3 linked regions of the Callithrix jacchus genome follow. The protein of the gene in region 1 binds, or shares a complex with, the protein of each later gene. Links are inferred from orthologs where the notes say so. Each region holds a gene or a part of one and is shown on either strand. Other genes may lie near its edges.

Evidence for each region.
Region 2: MMS19 (region 1) and CIAO1 share a complex: the UniProt entries of both Homo sapiens proteins name them as parts of the MMXD complex. The link is inferred for Callithrix jacchus from reciprocal best matches to the Homo sapiens genes MMS19 and CIAO1.
Region 3: MMS19 (region 1) and CIAO2A share a complex: the UniProt entries of both Homo sapiens proteins name them as parts of the CIA complex. The link is inferred for Callithrix jacchus from reciprocal best matches to the Homo sapiens genes MMS19 and CIAO2A.

Annotation. Positions count from the first base shown.
Region 1 is NC_133513.1:90,279,863-90,282,180, forward strand, and holds the end of MMS19 (MMS19 nucleotide excision repair protein homolog), read right to left. Parts: coding exon 2,251-2,318; intron 1,950-2,250; coding exon 1,867-1,949; intron 1,741-1,866; coding exon 1,576-1,740; intron 1,497-1,575; coding exon 1,437-1,496; intron 1,132-1,436; coding exon 1,031-1,131; intron 951-1,030; coding exon 923-950; 3' UTR 569-922; downstream 1-568. UniProt on the Homo sapiens protein: Key component of the cytosolic iron-sulfur protein assembly (CIA) complex, a multiprotein complex that mediates the incorporation of iron-sulfur cluster into apoproteins specifically involved in DNA metabolism and genomic integrity.
Region 2 is NC_133515.1:6,115,633-6,118,675, reverse strand, and holds the end of CIAO1 (putative cytosolic iron-sulfur protein assembly protein CIAO1), read right to left. Parts: intron 2,871-3,043; coding exon 2,783-2,870; intron 1,489-2,782; coding exon 1,248-1,488; 3' UTR 538-1,247; downstream 1-537. UniProt on the Homo sapiens protein: Key component of the cytosolic iron-sulfur protein assembly (CIA) complex, a multiprotein complex that mediates the incorporation of iron-sulfur cluster into extramitochondrial Fe/S proteins.
Region 3 is NC_133509.1:10,883,018-10,886,676, forward strand, and holds part of CIAO2A (cytosolic iron-sulfur assembly component 2A), read right to left. Parts: intron 3,291-3,659; coding exon 3,245-3,290; intron 222-3,244; coding exon 124-221; 3' UTR 1-123. UniProt on the Homo sapiens protein: Component of the cytosolic iron-sulfur protein assembly (CIA) complex, a multiprotein complex that mediates the incorporation of iron-sulfur cluster into extramitochondrial Fe/S proteins.

The sequences.
Region 1 (2,318 bases):
CTCCTCACTCTGCCTCACAATAGGGTGGGGAAGGGGAAAATCAGTGTCAAGACCTAGTGAGTAGGTATTCTGGTCATGCCTCTTACACTTTGGCATGATCTCAACTCACTGCAACCTCCGCCTCCCAGGTTGAAGCGATTCTTGTGCCTCAGCCTCCCAAGTAAAGGCGTGTGCCACCACACCTGGTTAATTTTTGCATTTTTAGTAGACATGGGGTTTAACCAAGTTGCCCAGTATTGAACTCCTGACCTCCAGTGATCCACCCCCCTTGGCCTCCCAAAATGCTGGGATTACAGGCGTAAGCCACCATGCCCAGCCGAATTTTTTAAATTATTTGTGGAGATGGGTTCTTGCTATATTGCCCAGGACCAGTCTCAAACTCCCTGCCTCAAGCAATCCTCCTGCTTCAGTCTCCTAAAGTGTTGGGGTTACAGGCATGAGCTACTTTGTTGGTTACCCTGAAAAATTTTTGGCCAGTCCCTGTCATCATTGTTCTTCCAGCTTAGTTTAGTAATGCCTCTGGTTCTACGAGGCATATGTTGGGTGGGGGAAATGTCTGACAGTCCCATTACCAAAAGACATCTTTATTCTTCAGCAGGTGCACACACAGCCACCACCCCTGGTCCTCAGGGCCACAGTCATATGCACTCACCCCTCAGCAGCATATTACCCCTTCTCTGACATACAAATGCAAGAGACCCAAGACCCTAGATCTTTCTTCAAACACAAGTGTCTCACAGTTAATGCACAAATCCACTAGAAATCTGGACCTTATGCTCCATGCAACAGAAGCCTAGCATTTGTGCTGTGTCTGTAGGAAAGGCAGGCAGAGGCCAGCAGTTTCCCTGCTTTGGGGATGATGGCTCCATAGTTAGTAATTCCAGGTTAGATTGTCAGAACAGTCTAGGCCAGGACTGACAGCTCAGCTGCCAGGGCTCCCCAACAGAAACCTGTAGGCAAAAAGAAAGTTGGCAGCATTAGTGGTAAGGCTCATCTCGGTCCCATTTCTCCCCATGGCCTAGAAACTCACCACTCCCCTCTGGCTGACACTGCTTCCTTGCGCACCAGTCTCTTCTTGTCATCCAAGGGTTTGGCTAAGGCTCGGATCACCTGTGGTTTGTATGGCAGCAGCTGTGGAGTCAGAGGATATAATCAACCTTGCTCATCCAAGGCAACTGAAAGTGCCCCTTTTTTGATTCTGTACAACTAATATTCTGAGGAAACTGAAACATCTTTAGTGATTCCAAGGGATGGCCATTCTGTTACCTTCTGGGCCCAAGGAAAAGAATCCTTGCTTATCTGTACCTTGTAATTCAGATCTCAATTACACAGCAGGGTGTAATTGAAACAGCCAAGCCCACTCGACTAAGGCAAAAAGGTATTTATCTGTCTCTTGAGACGGTCCCAGGCCAGAGAGGGGCACCTGAGGTACTTACCACAGGGGTGGGCAAGCGAGTGAGAGCATGCATGCACTGCAGTGCGGCGATCCGGACGGCCTGGAACACAACCACAAGGAGGTGAGAGCAGACCCAGGGAGAGCTGCTGGTTCCTGAGAGTTGCTGGGGCTCAACATACCATGGAAGGGCTAGAGGTGAGGTTCAGAAACTTGGTGACGAGAGTGTCCACGTGAAGACTCATGACTTGGGGTGCTTCCAGTAGAAGAGGCTGAAGGCAGCTGAGGGTAGAGAGCTGTACCACACAGTCAGGGCAGGACAGGGCCTCCAGCAGCAAGGAAAGAAGCTAAGGGGCAATGGGCAAGGTGTGGGATGGCCACATCATGCAGATCCTGGTTCTTGTACCCTCCCTTTCTAGCCCCATCTGGGAAAGAATTGTCCTTCGCTTAGAGGTTCTACCTGCAGGACTTACTGTGGGCAGCTCTGGCAAGAGCACAGGCTTGGGCAGCCTGTTAAGTACATGAGAAAGACCCTTCAAGTAGTTTGGCTTCACACCTGTAAAAAAATGGGAAAGCTTAGGAGAGAAATTGGGCTTAGATACATAGCTTGAGAATTCAATTCCGATCTGTGATGAGGTTGAGACATCAGCCTACAAAGGGGTGAAAAGCCCTTCATGTTTAGAATAAACAAGATACACCCACAAAGGAAGAAGTGGGACAAGAATCTAGAAGTTCAGTCTCCTAGGCACAGACCACAATATAGCTCTAAAGAAGCAAGCAGGTCCTAAGTTATCGGGTAATGTGGACAAGCAAAGGAGAGGTGTGTATGTGTGGGGCCTTTCTTTCAGACTCCTCACCTTGGGGAGCAGCATGGAAGCCCTGGACCAAAGCAGGCACATTATCTGTGAAGAAGCGCTGGCGGAAC
Region 2 (3,043 bases), on another chromosome or scaffold:
TCTCCATGTTGGTCAGGCTGGTCTTGAACTCCCGACCTCAGGAGATCTGCCCACCTTGGCCTCCCAGAGTGCTGGGATTACAGGCATGAGCCACCGCGCCCAGCTAGGTCAACATTTAATACAGTTAGCCACTGTTATTTATCAAGGATGTGTCAAAACTACTAGAAGTTTGCTGCCACCACCTTGGTTCATGCTGCAGTGCCAACAGTTGACCTCACAGATCCTCCCTCAAAGGGTCTTGGGACTCCCAGGATCTAGAGACCACATACTCTTGAGAACCACTACTCTAGGTACCACACCACTGTCTTTCTAAAATCTAAGGTCACAGCTTAAACTTAAGTGAGGGCTGTAGTTTTGGAGACCATTGTCACATTAGAACCTATTTAGAAGTGACTGTCGAGACAACCTTAGCGCAACCCTGAACACCGACTGCCAAAGCCAGTGTTTCTCAACTGGTTTTTGTCACCATTCCCCTAAGGAGCCTTCTTCCTGCTCACTCACTGCCATGAAAATGAAATACCACAACCACACTGTATGTTTGTGGAGGACCAGAAACTACTTTTTATTTCTACTGAAGAAGCAATTTGCATCCCTGTTGAAAATATAGGGCCTCTGTCCAGTAATAACCCTCCCTTTTAGGGTTCCTGTCTTCTCCTTTTTTTCCTACTCTGTTGCCATCACAGCGTAACAGTGCAGGAGGTATATGAGGGTTTCTGAGGGAAAGCAGAGATGCCCCTCTCTCAAATCTACATTCAGAAAAAAATTTCCTTCAATATTGATTGGATGTCTTAAATGCAAAGATTTACCCAGAAACTGGGAAGGCAGGATCTATTTCAGACAAGGATTCACCATGGAATTCTTTTATGAATATCCTTATGAATAGGGCTCGGGACGCAGATGGATTATTTGTCTTACAACTTCAGAAAGGCCTGAGACATATACCCCCTCCTACTATACATAGTGATTATAAATAGTATATTTACCCCCAAAAAATTTAACACTGTGCCCTAATGCAAGAAAAATCGGTGGTATAACAATGTACTGATGTTCTGTAGCTCTTTACTGAGGGCCTCATGACAAAGGCGGGGAAGGAGAGCAGTTCTGTGGCTCCATACTTCCACCCAAGTCTAAATAGAAGTGAGCCATTTTAAATGAAGGTCAAGGATGCTCCTCCTGGTCTTCTCAGGGGCTGGCAAAGTCTCATGACATTTTCTGGGAGTCATTATGCTGTCCAAAGTTGAGGTAGCTCAGAGGCCTTCAGGCCGCTGATACTTCCAGAAGGCCACCTCCCCATCATCACTGCAGGAGGCCAGCAGCCCTGGCTCCTTGGGGTTCCAGGCCACACAGTTGACATCTTGGGAATGGGCCTGATGCAAGTGGGCTGTCAGGGAGAAGGTGGGCTGCTGTGGATCTGAGTTGGGATCCTCCTCAAACACACGAATTGCATCATCCCCACAAGCTGTAGCCAAGGCCCCTGTCAGCTGACACCTGGAAGGAAAGTGACATCAGTGGGTATACCTGACTGATTAGGTCATACCTACTATGACTTGTTCCATAGTTCCTGGCCTGTTCTCTTTCCTAACTTTAGGCCTCAGCTAAAAACCTCCTCTTGAAATGTTTCCCTAAGTAATAAGGAGTCACAAATATTACCCACTTACATCTTCAGATGCTGCCATCTAGTTTTTTCCCCCACTATGATTACCCTAAAAAACTACATGCAGTTATGAACTGCACTTTTCTCACTTGGCATAAGCAGTTTCCCATGTCATAAAGTTTTTTTTGTTTGTTTGTTTTTTTTGAGATGGAGTCTTGCCTTGTCACCCAGGCTAGAGTGCAGTGGCACGATCTCTGCTCACTGCAACCTCCACTTCCCAGGTTCAAGTGATTTTCCTGCCTCAGTCTCCCCAGTAGCTGGGACTACAGGTGTGTGCCACCATGCCCCGCTAATTTTTGTATTTTCAGTACAGACAGGGTTTCACCATGTTGGCCAGGCTAGTCTCGAACTCCCGACCTCAAGTGATCCACCCGCCTTAGACTCCCGAAGTGCTGGGATTAAAGGCATGAGCCACTTTGCTCAACCAAAATAAAGTATTTTTAACCCCTTTCTTTTCTGTTTTTAAAGACAGGGTTTCTCCATGTTGGTCAGGCTGGTCTCGAGCTCCCTACCTCAGGTGATCCACCCACCTCGGCCTCCCAAAATGCTGGGATTACAGGCATGAGCCACAATGCCCGGCCTCTTAACCCCTTTCTTTAAACAGTGATATAACAAGCTGAGTTCTACCATAATTTACTTAAATTCACTTTTGTTGAATAGGTGATTCCCAAATGCTAATATAAAGCAAGCTTAAGTGCTTATCAGTTTTTTTTTCACTGTTCTGGATTATTTCCTAGGGATCAATTCTCAGGGCCAGAACTAAGCTCTGACCTACTCTCCTATATGAATGATGCAGCTTTCCCAGCTTCCAAAGGACAGAGTCAGTGTTACCAAGCCATAAAAACTCCAGCCATGAATGCAGATTCAATAATAACTTCTGTACAGCACAAACTGTGTGAACCCTGAGCACTGGTGCTGTCCTCACAGCATGGAATTGTTTCTTGCTCCCGTGAATACCAGCCCAAGCAGCTGTAAGCCAGCATGGTAGAGTCAGGGCTGATAAGGAATGGGGATGGCTGCCCTCAATTCCCAAGCACCACCCAAGGTTGCAGAGGGCTGCATGGGTCATGCCTTCTCTGAAATCTCTGCTTTATGGGGATGGAATGGGGGTAGGGGATAGAGTCTTACCAAGCAATGTCATAAATCGTCCTTGAGTGGAAGCCCGACAAAGTACAGACACATTTCCAACTGGGGTCAGAGCCGCTGCATGCCACCCCTGCAAGACAGACTTCGCTTACACTTAAGACATTCCTATGTCCTAGGCGCCTCAGAGGAGAATCTAACTTACCTTCCCTCACCCTCATCTTCAACTGATTATGAGTCCACATCTCCATTCCTGTCCCCATTCTTGCTGATCTACCTTACACACTATGGCCAGACTGGCCTTTC
Region 3 (3,659 bases), on another chromosome or scaffold:
CCTTTAAAAAAATGCTCTGAGGTACCATATCACCTATGTATTAAACAAGAGTCTTTGACATTATACAAAGAGTTTAAACAAATATATCTAACAGTTACAGGCCAGTGGCTCTTAAAGCAGCCATCAGTCAGGTTCAAGGACACACTGTTCCACAATTTCCCGTAAATTGGGGTTTTCCATTGCAGCTGCCACTCGTTCTTTGTCATTTATCTGCTTATTGACTGAAAAATACACAGACAAAAGTTAGCAGAAGAACTGTGTCAACATACAGTGCCAGACAGTATTTTTTATTAGCCTGCTGAAACAAAAAACTGAACTGCTTGAGAACTTGAAGTCATTTTTGGCTAATTATACTCATAATTATACTCATAATATAATTTCTCACCTAGAAGGCAGATTTAAGAGAAAAATTATAGTAGACACTATAATTCTACTACTTACCACATCTATTTTTTTCTTTCTAGTCTTTGTCCATATACATATCTTTATACAGTTACATTCAGAGTAAATACAATTTTGAAAATTGCTGGTTTTTTTCCCCATAAGCCTATATTTTAATCTACAGGGTTATTTAACATGGTAAAAGTCTTAAGTGTTCTAAACTAATTATGAAGACTATGCTACGATGAACACCTTTAAACATATAGCCTTCTTTTTGGAAATATTCTCAAAAATGGGATTTTTTTTTTTTTTTTTTTTTTTGAGATGGAGTCTCACTCTGTTGCCTAGGCTGGAGTGCAGTGGCACGATCTCAGCTCACTATAACCTCCACCTCCCAGGTTCAAGTGATTCTCCTGCTTCAGCCTCCTGAGTAGCTGGAACCACAGGCACACACCACCACACCCAGCTAATTTTTGTATTTTTTAGTAGAGACGAGGTTTCACCATATTGACCAGGCGGGTCTCAAACTCCTGACCTCTTGATTCACCTGCCTTGGCCTCCCGAAGTGCTGGGACTACAGACGTAAGCCACCATGGCCTGCCCAAGAATATGAATATTTTTATGGTTTGATTTATATCATTGATTTACTTCCCAAAATTACTCACCAATTTACATTGTCAACATCAATACATGAGCTATCAGTTTGGCAGCAATACCTGCTATTACTATTATTCTTCTTTGAGACAGTGGTACAATCATAGCTCCCTGTAACCTCCAACTCCTGGGCTCAAGAAATCCTCCTGCCTCAGCCTCCCACAGGCATGAGCCATCACACCTGGCTAATTTTCAAATTTTTTTGTAGAGACAGGGTCTCACTATGTTGTCCAGGCTAGTCTTGAAATCCCAGCCTCAAACTCCTGGCCTCAAGGCATTCTCTTGCGTTGGCCTCCCAAAGTGCTAGGGTTATAGGTGTGAACCACCATGCCCAGGCAATAGCTGCTATTATTTAATAAAAACTAATATGCATATAAACATACATAAAATAGGAGGTGGTAAATGGTTCAATATTATTGCTATAATTTGCATTTCCTTGTCTAATAGGAAAACAGAACATTTTCAATGTGTATATATTAGTTCTTGCATGAATTTCCTGTTCATGTTTCTTTCTATTAATCTACCAGATCTTTTTTAAAAGTTAGTTTGAATGAATCTTCATATAATAAAGGTATTGATCCATTATGTTTTCTACAATTAGCTAACAGCACTCTTAACAGAAGAGTTCAAAAGAGAGACACCCATATTCTTAATGTGGATTGACTTTTCTGGGATGCTGCTAAAATGTCTCATATAGAAGACAAACACACATACACATATTCCTGTGTAAATAATTTCAATTCAGTTTCTTCTTACTACAATGTAGGCTCCACAAAGGCAGGAATACATCTCAAAAGTTGAACTGTACCCTCACATAGAAGGCTCTTAGTAAATATTTACTAAACGAAAAACAAGAATCATAAGACTTAATACTATTGCTGTTGTAAAAACCTATCATTTGAGGAATTTCAAAAGGATAGCCTGAGTGGATTTAGGGTACCTAAACTCTTATTTTTTTAATCAGAGGTAGAAGCCCTCAGCACATGGGGTTTAAAGAAATTTAGCCCATTGTGTGGTGGTCCATGCCTGTAATCCCAGCACTTTGGGAGGCTGAGGTGGGCGGATCACGAGGTCAGGAGTTCGAGACCAGCCTGGCCAACACGGGTGAAACCCCATCTCAACTAAAAATACAAAAATTAGCTGGATGTGGTGGTGCATGCCTGTAGTCCCAGCTACTTGGGAGGCTAAGGCAGGAGAATTGCTTGAACCCAGAAGGTGGAGGTTGCAGTTGCAATGAGGTGACATCATGTCAGTGCACTCCAGCCTGGGCAACAGAGCAAGACTTGGTCTCAAAAAAAAGAAAAGAAATTTAGCCCACAAAGAGTATAATAATCTACATGCCTGAAACTATAGCTAGGACATGATTTTAATAGTTTTCATGACAGTAACCTAAAAAGTTTCCTGGATGGGCTATTCCTCTGGAAGCAACAGGGTTCCCTGCTTCCCTCTCTACAGCTCTCTTCTATGTAGGAGATTTTGTGTGTCTTTCTCCAGCCCTGGGTATGGCTTTCTGAGTCTTCTGGGTATCTATCTGACTGTTTCTCTCACTCCATTATCAATCATCTCTTTCTTCCACTCCTCTGATGAAACAAGTACAAACACCCTTTAAATGTATTTCTCATTACTTACACTCTATCATTTGTAGATTAAAAACATTAAAATTCTGTTTTTAAGGTAACACATGGATCATACAGAACATTCTGCCTTTTGCTTTTCCCAAACCCCACTTTGGCCATTAGAAGTCACTACAGTGACTTCTCTCTGTAGGTCAGAGGTTCTGTATATAAAAAGTTTCCCCACCCCCATTCTAATATACTAACCCAGAGAGACAGCATCTACCACAAGACTCACTACAGCTCTACTTGCTAGACCCAATTTCAAGTACACAGCTCTCTTATCCTGCCACCAAAGAAAAGCAGCCTACTTAGAGCTCATAAGTCAAGGTCCCTAGAGCTGGATATTCTTTACAGATGTGTAGCCACTGGCCTAAACTAGTCAACATCCATGAGCTCTAATGCACTTAGAGTCCCACTGTAAAAATTACTTCCCTGAAATGCCTAGGTTTTCCTACCTAGGAAAGAAGAGCTAATAACTAATTGCGTACTTTTTTTGAAAGTAACCCAGTAGATACTTGGCTGGTAGAAGAATCCAGTATCCAAGAAAAAATACTATCTGAAGTGTTTTTCCATTAGTTTAAACATTCACTTACTGTCTTCTTCTGTTGAGTGCGTTCCTTCAGAAATGTAGATTTCCAACTAGAAAGGGAAAAAAGAAAGTCAAAGAAAAAACGTTAGAGCATTCTAAGATGAGAGAGTGAAGTGGAATATACAGTGAATCAAACATCTAGGGAATGAGGGTCCAAAACCAGGAGTCTTGCTGTGTTCACCAAGCTGGAGCACAATGGCAGGATCTCGGCTCACTGCAATCTCCGCCTCCCAGGTTCAAGCAATTCCCCTGCTTCAGCCTACTGAATAGGTGGGACTATAGGCATGTACAACCACACCTGGCTAATTTTTTTTTGTATTTTAGTAGAGATGAGGTATCACCATGCTGGCCGGAGGGTCTTGATCTCCTAACCTCATAATCCACATACCTTAGCCTTCCAAAGTGCTGGGATTATAGGC